Arabidopsis thaliana: one gene and its partners. The protein of the gene in region 1 purifies or fractionates together with the protein of each later gene. This does not show direct contact. Each region holds a gene or a part of one and is shown on either strand. Other genes may lie near its edges. The genes, in order: AT2G37660, AT1G75290, AT1G75280 and AT1G75300.

What was found.
Region 2: the proteins of AT2G37660 (region 1) and AT1G75290 fractionate together in Arabidopsis thaliana (co-fractionation; one large-scale study listed by BioGRID). This does not show direct contact.
Region 3: the proteins of AT2G37660 (region 1) and AT1G75280 fractionate together in Arabidopsis thaliana (co-fractionation; one large-scale study listed by BioGRID). This does not show direct contact.
Region 4: the proteins of AT2G37660 (region 1) and AT1G75300 fractionate together in Arabidopsis thaliana (co-fractionation; one large-scale study listed by BioGRID). This does not show direct contact.

What each region holds. Positions count from the first base shown.
Region 1 is NC_003071.7:15,794,684-15,798,955, forward strand, and holds AT2G37660 (NAD(P)-binding Rossmann-fold superfamily protein), read right to left. Parts: upstream 2,377-4,272; 5' UTR 2,295-2,376; coding exon 2,030-2,294; intron 1,950-2,029; coding exon 1,678-1,949; intron 1,594-1,677; coding exon 1,557-1,593; intron 1,480-1,556; coding exon 1,382-1,479; intron 1,301-1,381; coding exon 1,239-1,300; intron 1,157-1,238; coding exon 1,033-1,156; intron 918-1,032; coding exon 798-917; 3' UTR 530-797; downstream 1-529. Other genes in the region: AT2G37650 (GRAS family transcription factor), read left to right, coding at 1-96; AT2G37670 (Transducin/WD40 repeat-like superfamily protein), read right to left, coding at 2,701-3,380, 3,447-3,540, 3,622-3,704, 3,796-3,847, 3,962-4,119, 4,209-4,272.
Region 2 is NC_003070.9:28,252,099-28,255,673, forward strand, and holds AT1G75290 (NAD(P)-binding Rossmann-fold superfamily protein), read left to right. Parts: upstream 1-1,623; 5' UTR 1,624-1,710; coding exon 1,711-1,977; intron 1,978-2,058; coding exon 2,059-2,193; intron 2,194-2,275; coding exon 2,276-2,519; intron 2,520-2,590; coding exon 2,591-2,794; exon of another isoform or gene 2,795-2,887; coding exon 2,888-3,075; downstream 3,076-3,575. Other genes in the region: AT1G75280 (NmrA-like negative transcriptional regulator family protein), read left to right, coding at 1-117, 202-336, 489-732, 809-1,012, 1,094-1,257; AT1G75300 (NmrA-like negative transcriptional regulator family protein), read left to right, coding at 3,454-3,575.
Region 3 is NC_003070.9:28,249,692-28,254,186, forward strand, and holds AT1G75280 (NmrA-like negative transcriptional regulator family protein), read left to right. Parts: upstream 1-1,934; 5' UTR 1,935-2,338; coding exon 2,339-2,524; intron 2,525-2,608; coding exon 2,609-2,743; intron 2,744-2,895; coding exon 2,896-3,139; intron 3,140-3,215; coding exon 3,216-3,419; intron 3,420-3,500; coding exon 3,501-3,664; 3' UTR 3,665-3,995; downstream 3,996-4,495. Other genes in the region: DHAR2 (dehydroascorbate reductase 2), read right to left, coding at 564-1,056, 1,247-1,337, 1,489-1,546; AT1G75290 (NAD(P)-binding Rossmann-fold superfamily protein), read left to right, coding at 4,118-4,384, 4,466-4,495.
Region 4 is NC_003070.9:28,253,758-28,257,625, reverse strand, and holds AT1G75300 (NmrA-like negative transcriptional regulator family protein), read right to left. Parts: upstream 2,132-3,868; 5' UTR 2,075-2,131; coding exon 1,889-2,074; exon of another isoform or gene 1,814-1,888; coding exon 1,679-1,813; exon of another isoform or gene 1,547-1,678; coding exon 1,261-1,546; intron 1,172-1,260; coding exon 968-1,171; exon of another isoform or gene 857-967; coding exon 699-856; 3' UTR 586-698; downstream 1-585. Other genes in the region: AT1G75290 (NAD(P)-binding Rossmann-fold superfamily protein), read right to left, coding at 2,453-2,640, 2,734-2,937, 3,009-3,252, 3,335-3,469, 3,551-3,817.

The DNA of each region.
Region 1 (4,272 bases):
TTTGTGATCGATCAAGATAACCGGTGGCTCTTGCAAGGCTGGAAGGGAAGAACTGTCATGGCTCTTTCTGTTTGGAAACCAGAGTCCAAGGCTTGACCGAGAAATCCTCGTTGGCATATGAGAGACCATCTCTTGATTTTCTTCCTGTGTAATTCCCAGAGACAGAATTACAGGTACAACTCGGATTCATATTCACATAGCTTTATTAATACCATCAGAATTCTTTCTAGGCATTGTACTGAGACTGTGTTATCTCTTTTGCAGATGTAAGAAGAGAATGCTGCACAAAGAACTTGTTCAAAGATAATATTGATGTAAGTCCTGTTTTATAACTTTCTAGCTGTGTTTTTGTTGTTTCTCAGCTAGATTCTCCTAACGGTATTCTTGTAGCTAGGGTGATCAGATTGTTTGTATATTGCTAGCAGAGTTAGTTTGTCTAGATTGTAACACATATAAGAGGAAGCTTAGAGAAACTATGGTTTAAAGAGAAGTTTTTTCCTTCTCCAATGTACACACGAGAACCAATGTTGCATTGAAATAAGATGTTTTACTATTTCTGGAAAACTCTTCTGCTTGGAACTTGAGCTCCTAGTTATTAGTTGTGGTCCCTCAATACTATTAGCGAGTTTTGATGATCTCTAAAGATATTTCAAAAGCTTTTGATGTTACTTAGAGATTCTAGGGCAAGACATCTTGAGAAATAGAAAGAGCCGGTTCAGACACATAAAGAACTCATCCCTCTCAGTGTCAATTCTAGGACTTTGCTACAATGACAAAGGGAACAAAAAAATACTTAATCAGAACTTAGTGGTTACTTGAGTGAAAAGCGCCTTGAAATCCTTTGTTGGGGTGCCTGTTCCCTCGGGCTTTGAGGCCAGGTCAAGAGCTTTGAATTTTGCCTCCTCAAGCTGCAATGCCTGCTCAAATAATAAACACCATGGATTAGGAGAAGCAAAACTGGTTTAAAAGATATGGTAACTGTTGATGGATTATGCAGTTTACGAAGCCCTTTTGGTCATAATGAACACACACCTGAACACAGACTTCTGCAACATCAGCTCTTGCGATTGTTCTTGTTTCTGTCTCAAGTAGCTCGTCATCTTTTCCCACAAGTAATTCTCGAATGCCACCGTCCTTGTCCTGCAGACCTCCAGCCCTGAATCCAAGAGCAATATTGCAAGATGAGAATATTCCGCCATTGCAATTTGTACCGGATGCAAGTAAACAATAAAAGTTACCTGATGATGGTGTATGGAATACCGGAATCAGCCAAGTATTGCTCAGCCTTTCTCTTCCAGACCTACAAATTGCATAAAGACTGTGAACATTTGCCGTGAAACTCATCTCTGTGTTCAAGAAAACAGAGAAAGAGTAGTCTCACCAGAATGTTAGCATTGCCAATACTATTGAGAGGGTGATTAATGTTTGTTCCTCCCATCGACCCAACCAAAACAATCTGCTTAACTCCTGCAGCCTTAGCTGTTACAACAAACGACAATCCATCATCATCAACACCTCCGCTAAACACACATACAACAGAGATGATGAATACAAACCAGCGTCTATCTGATTCTTCTGACCAATCCAGTCAACCTACAAACAAAATCATGAATTCAAAAACCAAGAAGAAATGAAGAAATCCACAAGAACACACTACACTAAGATCAATGTAGTCACCTGTTCTGGATAAGCTCCATCATCAAAGAAGAACTCAGGTCTTCCTCCTTTACTAGGATCAAAACCGGGCTTCATCTGCGGAACAGCGCTAGTAAGAATGACCAAAGCATCAATCCCTTCAACAGCAGGAGCAATTGATGCAGTATCTCTAATATCTCCAATGAATACTTCATCCTCTCCATTGATCTTCTCCTTACTCTCCTTTGTCCTCACTAAACCCCTTGCCACGAACTGCTCCGACCTCTCCTTCAATTTCTTATACACAATTTGTCCTGTCACAGTCACCATCAATATTGAACAGTGTTCTTATGGAATTTCACAATACCACATTGTAGAGATAAAGAGAGAGAACCTGTTCTTCCACCGGCACCGGTAACGAGGACGGTGAGAGGTTCAGTTGTTGCGGCGGCGGAAACGGTAACCGATACTCTTCTGTTTTTTCCGGTGAACTTACTTGGACCACAAATCGACGTAGAATCTGACACAAGTGAGCGAAATTGGAGAGACGACGAACGAGGAACTGAGACAAAGGAAGAAGCTACAGCTCCGGATTTGTAAGTGTTAGCAGGAAGTAGTGGATGGAAGAATGTTGTCGTCGTCGTCGTCATCATCGCCATTGACTGGAGTTTGATAGCTCAGACGAAGAAGACGAGAGAGTGAGAAATATCGCAAAATTTCCGATTTTCGCCACGTCACCTTATCTTTTGAATTATATTTGTCTTTTTGTTTCATTCTAATTACGCTTTAAACGGGCCTGATTTTAAAATGGGCCATGGCCTATCTCCCACGAATGATCGAAGAACATCTAATTAATTGAAGTAACATAGTTTTACTGTTTGATTTATATTTGGAGAACTACACAAATTTTTCTCTGTGTATACAACTCAATATTTTGAACGTCGAGAGAGGTTTCTCAACACTATAAGACGGTTGTTTCTGTATAAGAAGGTTTCTTTACGTACTCTACAAGCAACAAAGATACAAATCAAGAAAAATAAAACACCGGTTCCTTCCTTTTTAAAATCAAAACAGAGTAGTTTGGCGACCGATTCTTCTCGGTAAACCAAAGTTTTGATAAGATCGGATCTCACCATGAACTGTAGCCGTCACAATCACCATCCCCCAAGCCGTTGGCTGTATAGTTTGCGGACCATGCCCTCCACTGTCGAACCATGACCAAGAAGATAACCTTGACGATGTGTTTATCGATGGAGATTCCCCAAACCTCGATGAATGCTGCTCCGAAGAGTTCATACTCGACCGAAACGACTCACTGCTTCCCAGCTCCGGTCCTGCCTCTTCCTCTGGTTGAATCTGACTCTTTGTAGCGGCTTTCTTAGGCATTGGAGGTAACCCTGATTTTTTATTCCGGTTAGATGTAGTTGGTCCAGTCGCCGAGGTTTCTTCTTTTGTTGGTGAGCTTATGGTGGATGAAGGCTGGCTTGAAGTAGATATGCGCTTTGAGTGGCGTTTAGAGTGAATCTGAACTGGTGGTGGCTCACCTCTAACATGACCATGCCAAGGAACAGCGGCTGAGACATCTTTGCAATGAAAATGTTCGTGAGATTGTGTCGTGAGTGTTGATCTTGTTCGGTGAAAGTCATTCTTCCATAAGTAAACTTGAGAGTCTTCACTCGCACATATTATGTATTTCCCATCTTGGCTATACGAAGCAGAGAGTTGGCTACATGTGTTTCTAAAGCCTGTCAACAAAAAGTATCAGTTTTTGTTTTTGTTCATCTTGGCTCTAGTGCTTGTAGAGAATTTACCTTTGAATTTGTGAATAACTTCAGAACCGTCTAGTATTCGAATCCGTGAATCAGCGGATGTGACAAGAACTTCAGATGGATTCACCGGGGAAAACTATATAATGGCATCAACAACTTGTTAACATTTTAGTTTACTAAAGTCTTAAGAAGGATTTTGGCTTTTAAAGAAAGGAACCTGAAAACTAGTGATCTTCCTTTTCGCTTGTGATTTCTTGTTGCTCTGAACATCAATCTGATTAGTTTGGCTCAGCTTACAATCTGTTCTACAGAAGAAAAAAGCGCGTCGCAATGAAAAGAAGTATTCAACTGGTAAACATGATGTTTGATACAGAAAGAGCTTAGGAAGAACCTTCTGTATCGTAAGCACGACAAATTCCTTTATGTGACCCGATAAGTGCACCCTTCAACCGAAAAAACCAAAACTTCCATCATTATAAAAACACCATAATGGATGGATTTTGTAGACTACTCCAAGAAACAGAGCAAAAAACAGAGCAAAAAAACAGAGCAAATACCTGACCGTCTGGTGTGTAGCAAGCAGCAGTAACCATTTCATGAAGATCACTCCATTCCACAACATGTCGATCTTGTATGCTCCATATCCTTATTTTAGCGTCAAGTGAACCACTTAAGAAATAATTTTCATCCACTGGACTGAACTGAATACATGTCACTGTTGAATCAATGAGACAATATAGTCAAAAGTGCATGCAGAAAATTAATAGCTAGATGTGAAGATAGGATACAAAAGATTTGTCTTACCATAGTCATTATGGGCAAACAGTTTGAGACATGTTTTGGTTTCTATATCCCATAACCTGACTGT
Region 2 (3,575 bases), on another chromosome or scaffold:
GCGAGCGCCAAAGCTGGCCACTCCACATTCGCTCTCGTTAGAGAAGCAACTCTATCCGATCCTGTCAAGGGCAAAACCGTCCAGAGTTTCAAAGATCTCGGCGTCACAATACTACACGTACGCTTTAACTTTATACACTCTGTTTCATTCATTCATATAAGTTTTTCATAACCATAACTTTTAGTTATATGACTTGGTCAGGGAGATTTGAATGATCACGAGAGCTTAGTGAAGGCTATTAAACAGGTTGATGTGGTGATATCTACCGTTGGGAGCATGCAAATCTTGGATCAAACCAAGATCATTTCCGCCATCAAAGAAGCCGGTAATGTCAAGGTCAGTATTTCATATTACCTTGATTCAAACCCCATTACATATAAACAGAGTCCAATGTTTTGATTTTTTTTTTTTCTTTTTTTAATGAAAGAGTAGTTCTAGAGGGATCTAATTGCATATATATAGTTTCATATTGGATATGTTATTTGCAGAGATTCTTGCCGTCTGAGTTTGGGGTGGATGTGGATAGGACGAGTGCGGTTGAGCCAGCTAAATCGGCTTTTGCAGGGAAGATACAGATCAGGAGAACCATCGAAGCGGAAGGAATACCATACACTTACGCTGTTACCGGTTGCTTTGGTGGTTACTACTTGCCAACATTGGTTCAGTTCGAGCCTGGTCTCACTTCTCCTCCTAGAGACAAAGTCACCATTCTTGGCGATGGAAATGCCAAAGGTTAGTAGTTTCAAGAATCCAAACACTTATAACGTGGCCTATACAGTTTAATCTAACACCGTAGAATATTTCGCAGCTGTGATCAACAAAGAGGAAGATATTGCTGCTTACACGATCAAGGCGGTGGATGATCCTAGGACTCTGAACAAAATCCTATACATTAAGCCTTCTAACAACACTTTATCGATGAACGAAATAGTCACCTTGTGGGAGAAAAAGATTGGCAAGTCTCTTGAGAAGACTCACCTCCCAGAGGAACAACTACTTAAAAGCATCCAAGGTTTAGATAATCAATTCACAAAGAGGTTTTTAGATTCTTTATTAATTACTCATTCTGAATTAAATGATTATCTTTTGGCAGAGTCTCCGATTCCCATCAATGTTGTTCTGTCGATAAACCACGCGGTGTTTGTGAATGGAGATACCAATATCAGTATAGAGCCTTCCTTTGGTGTGGAAGCCTCTGAGCTTTACCCTGATGTCAAGTACACAAGTGTTGACGAGTATCTCAGTTATTTCGCTTGATGAACTTCATTATAAACGTAATTTACCACCATGACGCGCTAGTTTCATGTTCTGTATCAATAAAAGAATGGTTCTTGTAATGGTGAATGTGTGTGTGTATGTGTGACTAATCAGTAATCACAGTGCTTTACCTCTGTTTCCGAGCTTCCCAAGAAATATGAATTAGTAATATATAATTCATACCTATAGTCTATACATGATTATCAATATGTTAGGTACCTAAGGTTTTTATTCAAATCAATTTTAATAATACCTAAATCAAATATTTTTGTATCCAAATCAGAAAAAATATATATCAAACCTTGAGTTTGGTAATAGAATTTGAATTTGGTCATGTCCATTGTCTAGATTCAGCGAAAATAAAAAGGGAACCAAAAAATAAATCTCAATTTTGTAATTAAAGAAAGGTTAGGTAAGGGTATTATCGTAGTTCTATCTTAAATCAACCGACCAATGTTTTGGTCCGTAAAGCGCTATTCCTTCGCTCCCAAAATCATTCACTTAGCATTCAATTATCACGTTTCGAATCTAAACATGGCGTCAGAGAAAAGCAAGATTCTGGTGATCGGAGGGACTGGTCACATCGGAAAACTCATTATAGAAGCGAGCGTGAAAGCCGGACACTCCACACTGGCTCTCGTTAGAGAAGCCTCGCTCTCCGATCCCAACAAGGGCAAAACCGTCCAGAATTTCAAAGATTTTGGCGTCACATTACTTCACGTACGCTTGATCCTTTCGTTAATAAGTTTCATACAAATTCAATAACCATAACCTTAGTTATGTATATGATAACTTGGTCAGGGGGATTTGAACGATCATGAGAGCTTAGTGAAGGCCATTAAACAGGCCGATGTGGTTATATCAACCGTTGGGAGCATGCAAATCTTGGATCAAACCAAGATCATTTCAGCTATTAAAGAAGCCGGTAACGTCAAGGTCAGATCTTGATACAAACCCTTAACATATAAAAAATCGAATTGCATAAGACCAAATTTGTACATAGTTTCATGTTTTGCAGAGATTCTTGCCGTCTGAGTTTGGGATGGACGTGGACAAGTCAAGTGCGGTTGAGCCTGCGAAATCGGCTTTTGGGAGGAAACTACAGACAAGGAGAGACATAGAAGCGGAAGGAATACCATACACTTACCTTGTTACCAATTACTTTGCTGGTTACTACTTGCCCACATTGGTTCAGCTGGAGCCAGGTCTCACTTCTCCTCCTAGAGATAAAGTCAAAATTTTCGGAGATGGAAATGTCAAAGGTTAGTTTCATATCATTAACATTACTGTGCTTTTTATGCAATTGAATCTAACACAGTCGAATATTTCATAGCTGTGATCAACAAGGAGGAAGATATTGCTGCTTACACTATCAAAGCGGTGGATGATCCAAGGACTCTGAATAAAACCCTCTACATTAATCCTCCTAACAACACTTTATCGATGAACGAAATAGTCACCTTGTGGGAGAAAAAGATTGGCAAGTCTGTTGAGAAGATTTACATGTCAGAGGAACAAATCTTTAAAAGCATCCAAGGTTCAGAAAATCAATTCACCAAGAGGTCTTTCGATTCTTTATAACTACCGTTTTTTCATTTTCTAGAATATGAAGATCTTTCTCTTTTTGCAGAGTCTCCGGTTCCCTTCAACGTTCTTCTGTCGATAAACCACGCGGTGTTTGTGAAAGGAGATCAGACCAATTTCACTATAGAGCCTTCATTCGGTTTTGAAGCCTCTGAGCTTTACCCTGATATCAAGTACACGAGTATTGATGAGTATCTCAGTTATTTCGCTTTAGGAACTTCATTAAACACCTAATTTACCACCATAACGCTAGCTGCTTTCATGTTTGTATCAATAAAAAATGATTCTTGCAATGTGTGTGACTAATCACAGTGCTTTATCTCTATATGCATCCATCTTTAAGCCATTTTTACGGTCTATAAAGCTGTGTAAAACCACAAAATATCTCACAATTTTACATATGGTCAAATGAGAAAATTTGGATTTAACGAGCATAACATGTTTATCATGGGAGTCAACATCTATGCACCACATGAGATGTTGAGTGAGGGTATTGTTGTCAATCAACCAACAAATTCTGTCCATAAATTGCCTTGCCAACGCCACTCAAATTCCACAGCATTATTGAATTTAGTAGTACACACAATCATTAGTCATTACCACGTTTGAAACATGACGACGGAGAAAAGCAAGATTCTGGTGATCGGAGGGACTGGTTACATGGGAGAATTCATCGTTGAAGGGAGCGCGAAAGCCGGTAACCCAACATTCGCTCTTGTCCGAGAAGCATCTCT
Region 3 (4,495 bases), on another chromosome or scaffold:
TGTGGGAGAGCAAGGTTGGTAAAAATCTGGAGAAGACTTACGTTTCATAGGAGAAACTTCTCAAGAAAATCCCAGGTGAGAGAGATAATTTTGACACTCTTTTTTACCAAACATAAACAATTAAGATCAGGTGTTTGCTAATACTTGAAATGTTGCAGAGTCTCCACATCCACTTGATCTTCTGTTGGCTTTAAATCATGCCATTTTTGTGAAAGGAGATCAAACCTATTTTACAGTAGAGCCTTACTTTGAAGTGGAAGCTTCTCAGCTTTATCCAGATATCAAGTACACAAGCGTCGATGAGTAACTCAGCCAGTTTGTCTGAAACTATAGCATCATCATCTTGTAGCAGGCATTTACTAATAATCAAGAGATTGACCATTGGACTGTAATACCAAATTGAATAAGAGGTGTATATTATCAAAAAAAGATATGCTGCTTTATCGCATCATTATTGATAACCAACTCTAACAAAAACAAGAACACACACATACTCGTGCATTCTTATTATTCAGTGAAGAATAGTTCTAAAGCAACATTAACTAGAGAAGCATGGATCCACATCACGCATTCACCTTCGATTCCCAACCCGCAACCACAATCTCTTTCTTAGCCTTGGTGTTCTCAAACGACTCCCTAGAGAACAAAGCCTTGGCGTAGTTACGAACACTGGTCAAGCTCTCAGGGACAGACCAGTTCTTGTAATGACCAAGAGCAACCTCAAGATGGTAAAGCTTTGGTGCTAAACTCAAATCCACTGCAGTAATCTTCTCTCCAGCTACAAAAGGACCAGAATGTGTCTTCAAGTGATTCTCCAACGCTTCTAACTCATCAACCAAAGCCTTCTCGGATCCGTCATTAGCGTCTTTGCTCTTCAAGAAAGTCACAAAAGCACCAAAGATTTTGGATCCTACAGAAGCAAATTCAGGAGGAGTCTTGAGAGAAGGCTCTGGATATTTCTCTTCAAGAAGTCCAACAATTACGTCAGAATCAGCCACCCATTTGCCATCAAGCTTCACCACCGGAACTTTCCCCTCTGGACTAATGTCTAAGAACCTATAAAACACAAAAATTTCAGAGAAATCTATCAAAAGCCCACAAATTTACAGAAGATACAGAATCTTTTAGTGTCCAAAACACAATAAAAGTTGTAACTTTTCATCCAAATTATACAGCTTTCGATTTGGGGATTACTTATTAAGCTAATCAAATCTCCATCAGTAATCATTGGTATCACAGAACGTACCATTGGGGTTTGTCGGAGACGTTAATCAGATGGGTCTTGTAGGGAAGCTTCTTCTCCTCAAGTGTCAGAAGAACACGTTGGCTAAACGGACCTGAGAAAAAGAAATCGAGATTTCATAGAATAAAGCACACGCATTTGAATAGATCACAGATCAAAAACCCTAATTTAAGAAATCAAAGCTTGATGTGGACAAACAAAACGGAGATCGATGATTGGAGAAAGGATAGAGAGAGAGAACATACAGTCGCCGAGAACATCAGGAGCACCGACGGCAACCTTCACGCAGATATCTAGAGCCATCGATCTTTCTTCGATTTTTTAGAAAACTTATCCCACGGAGTCGAAGAATTATAATTCTCGTTTTAAAAGCAAAATATGAATGAAATAGGCAAAAATGTCTTTCAAATAAAATACAAGGAAAACGAAATCTTTGGTCTTTAAATATGTTCATGAAATTTGTGACGTCATTGATGAAGTGGCTGTTACGATATATTCGAACCTTCTCCAATTGGTTAGTCTCCTTCTTTTTTTTGCACCAATCAAATGGTCAAATCATTGTCCAAGTGTTACCAATACAAACCAAAATTGATGTTAGAATGTATTTGTCAATGAATTTGATCTATATTGTGTCCAGATTCCATATATAAGTACACTATAAACCAGTCTACTAATTCCTTTCTCTCTTCTGGTTTAAGGCTTCGGTTTGCTATGTACCAGTTTAGTTTGCGTATGACCAAACCCCCTTAAGCTCACTAACGATCCTGTTGGGGGCTAAGGGTTGGGGACCTGGGGTCAATCGATTAAGTTTATTTAAATAATGGTTACGATCATAGTTATAAGGTTTTAACCTTCCGGTTAACCAGTGATTATTTTAGCTAATTAGGATTTTAATAAGAATTTTGATGGGGAGGCACGAACAAGAAATGAATATCTTAGAATTGAAGTAAGGTTCAGTAAGGGTATTATCGTAAATCAACCAAACAATGTCTGGTCCATAAATTGCGGTGCCCAAACCATTCCTTCAAGCACATTCCAAATCATTTTCTTACCACTCAAAGAGTGCGCACTCATTATCATCGTTTGAAACTAAACATGGCGACGGAGAAAAGCAAGATTCTGGTGATCGGAGGAACTGGTTACATCGGGAAATTCCTAGTAGAAGCGAGCGCCAAAGCTGGCCACTCCACATTCGCTCTCGTTAGAGAAGCAACTCTATCCGATCCTGTCAAGGGCAAAACCGTCCAGAGTTTCAAAGATCTCGGCGTCACAATACTACACGTACGCTTTAACTTTATACACTCTGTTTCATTCATTCATATAAGTTTTTCATAACCATAACTTTTAGTTATATGACTTGGTCAGGGAGATTTGAATGATCACGAGAGCTTAGTGAAGGCTATTAAACAGGTTGATGTGGTGATATCTACCGTTGGGAGCATGCAAATCTTGGATCAAACCAAGATCATTTCCGCCATCAAAGAAGCCGGTAATGTCAAGGTCAGTATTTCATATTACCTTGATTCAAACCCCATTACATATAAACAGAGTCCAATGTTTTGATTTTTTTTTTTTCTTTTTTTAATGAAAGAGTAGTTCTAGAGGGATCTAATTGCATATATATAGTTTCATATTGGATATGTTATTTGCAGAGATTCTTGCCGTCTGAGTTTGGGGTGGATGTGGATAGGACGAGTGCGGTTGAGCCAGCTAAATCGGCTTTTGCAGGGAAGATACAGATCAGGAGAACCATCGAAGCGGAAGGAATACCATACACTTACGCTGTTACCGGTTGCTTTGGTGGTTACTACTTGCCAACATTGGTTCAGTTCGAGCCTGGTCTCACTTCTCCTCCTAGAGACAAAGTCACCATTCTTGGCGATGGAAATGCCAAAGGTTAGTAGTTTCAAGAATCCAAACACTTATAACGTGGCCTATACAGTTTAATCTAACACCGTAGAATATTTCGCAGCTGTGATCAACAAAGAGGAAGATATTGCTGCTTACACGATCAAGGCGGTGGATGATCCTAGGACTCTGAACAAAATCCTATACATTAAGCCTTCTAACAACACTTTATCGATGAACGAAATAGTCACCTTGTGGGAGAAAAAGATTGGCAAGTCTCTTGAGAAGACTCACCTCCCAGAGGAACAACTACTTAAAAGCATCCAAGGTTTAGATAATCAATTCACAAAGAGGTTTTTAGATTCTTTATTAATTACTCATTCTGAATTAAATGATTATCTTTTGGCAGAGTCTCCGATTCCCATCAATGTTGTTCTGTCGATAAACCACGCGGTGTTTGTGAATGGAGATACCAATATCAGTATAGAGCCTTCCTTTGGTGTGGAAGCCTCTGAGCTTTACCCTGATGTCAAGTACACAAGTGTTGACGAGTATCTCAGTTATTTCGCTTGATGAACTTCATTATAAACGTAATTTACCACCATGACGCGCTAGTTTCATGTTCTGTATCAATAAAAGAATGGTTCTTGTAATGGTGAATGTGTGTGTGTATGTGTGACTAATCAGTAATCACAGTGCTTTACCTCTGTTTCCGAGCTTCCCAAGAAATATGAATTAGTAATATATAATTCATACCTATAGTCTATACATGATTATCAATATGTTAGGTACCTAAGGTTTTTATTCAAATCAATTTTAATAATACCTAAATCAAATATTTTTGTATCCAAATCAGAAAAAATATATATCAAACCTTGAGTTTGGTAATAGAATTTGAATTTGGTCATGTCCATTGTCTAGATTCAGCGAAAATAAAAAGGGAACCAAAAAATAAATCTCAATTTTGTAATTAAAGAAAGGTTAGGTAAGGGTATTATCGTAGTTCTATCTTAAATCAACCGACCAATGTTTTGGTCCGTAAAGCGCTATTCCTTCGCTCCCAAAATCATTCACTTAGCATTCAATTATCACGTTTCGAATCTAAACATGGCGTCAGAGAAAAGCAAGATTCTGGTGATCGGAGGGACTGGTCACATCGGAAAACTCATTATAGAAGCGAGCGTGAAAGCCGGACACTCCACACTGGCTCTCGTTAGAGAAGCCTCGCTCTCCGATCCCAACAAGGGCAAAACCGTCCAGAATTTCAAAGATTTTGGCGTCACATTACTTCACGTACGCTTGATCCTTTCGTTAATAAGTTTCATACAAATTCAATAACCATAACCTTAGTTATGTATATGATAACTTGGTCAGGGGGATTTGAACGATCATGAGAGCTTAGTG
Region 4 (3,868 bases), on another chromosome or scaffold:
AGAAAAGTAAATCAAAGCCATACGATCGAGAATCTAATTATGTCAGTCAAAGCACAAAGATAGACCCCACGATACTACAATACATGCATGATGCATCGTCATTATTTTCGTTCCTTTTTTATATTAAATTAAAGATGTTTCATGCTTTTTGATAGGTTATGGTATCATGAAAAACCTAATGTGTCATGGCTTTTCCAATCTCTAAAGTGTTTTCAGTTGCTTTCCTTAAAAGTATTCTGAGAGAATCTCTTAGCCATATGCATTGCATATTCACATCACACCCAATCACATGCTTCGCCTACTTCGCTGTTTTTTCTCTTTAACAAGAATCACACATCGTCTCAGGCCCAACAAGAGCCCATAATGAAAAGCTCTGAATCAGGCAGAAGGTTTTGTAGGAGTTGAAAGACTGAAACAGCGTCGTATTAGGACGATGAGCTATCATCATCTGCCACTCTTTCTCAGTTTCTCCGTCTCTCGCCGGCGATCGATTCGCCGAAAAGCCCCACTACCCAGGTGCGTCTGTCTCGACCTTTCCCTATATCTTGTAATTGACACAAGATACTATTAAAAGTATTCAATTTTAGTGTAATATATTAGCTTGAGTTCACAAAACTTTACATTTTGCTTGATTAATCAATTTCACACGTACAAGAATCAGTTTTTATTGTTTTGTGATTTGTTTTTGTGAATTGTTCTCAAGTGAATTGACTGAGATACTCATCAATACTCGTGTACTTGACATCAGGGTAAAGCACAGAGGCTTCTTCACCGAACCAAGGCTCTATTGTGAAACTGGTCTGATCTCCCTTCACAAACACCGCGTGGTTTATAGACTTGAAAACATCGATGGGAACTGGAGAGTACGCAAAAAGAACATATCTTTTAATTCAGCAAATGAAAAAAAATGGTAATAAAGAATTTAAACGACTTCTTGGTGAATTGTGGTATGTTATTAATTTCTAACCTTGGATGCTTTTAAGGATTTGCTCTTCTGATATGTGAGTCTTCTCAAGAGACTTGCCGATCTTTTTCTCCCACAAGGTGACCATTTCGTTCATCGATAAAATGTTGTTAGGAGGACTAATGTAGAGGGTTTTGTTCAGAGTCCTTAGATCATCCACCGCCTTGATCATGTAAGCTGCAACATCTTCCTCTTTGTTGATCACAACTGCAAAATCAATTTAAAAAACTTGTTACATAAGAATCTTTATAAAAAAAAATAGATTATACGTTCTGTTACATTATAAAATTCTCAACCTTTGGCATTTCCATCGCCTAATATGGTGACTTTGTCTCTAGGAGGAACATTTTTGTCGCCAAAGATGATGGCCTTGTCTCTAGTATGAGAAATGAGACCAGACTCGAACTGAAGTAACGTACGCAAGTAAAAACCGGCAGAGCAATTGCTAACAACGTAAGTGTATGGTATTCCTTCAGCTTCAATGGCTCTCCTGATCTGTACCTTCCCTGCAAATAATGATTTTGCCGGCTCAACCGCACTGGTCCTCTCAACGTCTATCCCAAACTCAGCCGGCAAGAATCTCTGCAAAGCAAAAACTATAAATCTAGTAAGAGGTTATGTTCAGCTGGATTTTTTCTCATAACTATTTTCAGTTAGATCATATGCTAATCGGATTGCCATTTATATGTATTGAGGTTTGAATCAAATACCAACCTTGACGTTACCAGCTTCTTTAATGGCGGAAATGATCTTGGTTTGATCAAAGATTTGCTTGTGCCCGATGGTTGATATCACCACATCAACCTGTTTAATGGCCTTAACTAAGCTCTCATGATCATTCAAATCTCCCTGTCCAAGTTACATAACTAGGTTATGGTTTTGAGTTTGTATGAAACATGTTAGAGAGTGAGAGTTCATGCATACGTGTAGTATTGTGACACCGAGATCTTTGAAGCTCTGGATGGTTTTGCTCTTGACAGGATCAGAGAGAGATGCTTCTCGGACAAGAGCGAATGTTGGGTTACCGGCTTTCGCGCTCCCTTCAACGATGAATTCTCCCATGTAACCAGTCCCTCCGATCACCAGAATCTTGCTTTTCTCCGTCGTCATGTTTCAAACGTGGTAATGACTAATGATTGTGTGTACTACTAAATTCAATAATGCTGTGGAATTTGAGTGGCGTTGGCAAGGCAATTTATGGACAGAATTTGTTGGTTGATTGACAACAATACCCTCACTCAACATCTCATGTGGTGCATAGATGTTGACTCCCATGATAAACATGTTATGCTCGTTAAATCCAAATTTTCTCATTTGACCATATGTAAAATTGTGAGATATTTTGTGGTTTTACACAGCTTTATAGACCGTAAAAATGGCTTAAAGATGGATGCATATAGAGATAAAGCACTGTGATTAGTCACACACATTGCAAGAATCATTTTTTATTGATACAAACATGAAAGCAGCTAGCGTTATGGTGGTAAATTAGGTGTTTAATGAAGTTCCTAAAGCGAAATAACTGAGATACTCATCAATACTCGTGTACTTGATATCAGGGTAAAGCTCAGAGGCTTCAAAACCGAATGAAGGCTCTATAGTGAAATTGGTCTGATCTCCTTTCACAAACACCGCGTGGTTTATCGACAGAAGAACGTTGAAGGGAACCGGAGACTCTGCAAAAAGAGAAAGATCTTCATATTCTAGAAAATGAAAAAACGGTAGTTATAAAGAATCGAAAGACCTCTTGGTGAATTGATTTTCTGAACCTTGGATGCTTTTAAAGATTTGTTCCTCTGACATGTAAATCTTCTCAACAGACTTGCCAATCTTTTTCTCCCACAAGGTGACTATTTCGTTCATCGATAAAGTGTTGTTAGGAGGATTAATGTAGAGGGTTTTATTCAGAGTCCTTGGATCATCCACCGCTTTGATAGTGTAAGCAGCAATATCTTCCTCCTTGTTGATCACAGCTATGAAATATTCGACTGTGTTAGATTCAATTGCATAAAAAGCACAGTAATGTTAATGATATGAAACTAACCTTTGACATTTCCATCTCCGAAAATTTTGACTTTATCTCTAGGAGGAGAAGTGAGACCTGGCTCCAGCTGAACCAATGTGGGCAAGTAGTAACCAGCAAAGTAATTGGTAACAAGGTAAGTGTATGGTATTCCTTCCGCTTCTATGTCTCTCCTTGTCTGTAGTTTCCTCCCAAAAGCCGATTTCGCAGGCTCAACCGCACTTGACTTGTCCACGTCCATCCCAAACTCAGACGGCAAGAATCTCTGCAAAACATGAAACTATGTACAAATTTGGTCTTATGCAATTCGATTTTTTATATGTTAAGGGTTTGTATCAAGATCTGACCTTGACGTTACCGGCTTCTTTAATAGCTGAAATGATCTTGGTTTGATCCAAGATTTGCATGCTCCCAACGGTTGATATAACCACATCGGCCTGTTTAATGGCCTTCACTAAGCTCTCATGATCGTTCAAATCCCCCTGACCAAGTTATCATATACATAACTAAGGTTATGGTTATTGAATTTGTATGAAACTTATTAACGAAAGGATCAAGCGTACGTGAAGTAATGTGACGCCAAAATCTTTGAAATTCTGGACGGTTTTGCCCTTGTTGGGATCGGAGAGCGAGGCTTCTCTAACGAGAGCCAGTGTGGAGTGTCCGGCTTTCACGCTCGCTTCTATAATGAGTTTTCCGATGTGACCAGTCCCTCCGATCACCAGAATCTTGCTTTTCTCTGACGCCATGTTTAGATTCGAAACGTGATAATTGAATGCTAAGTGAATGATTTTGGGAGCGAAGGAATAGCGCTTTACGGACCAAAACATTGGTCGGTTGATTTAAGATAGAACTACGATAATACCCTTACCTAACCTTTC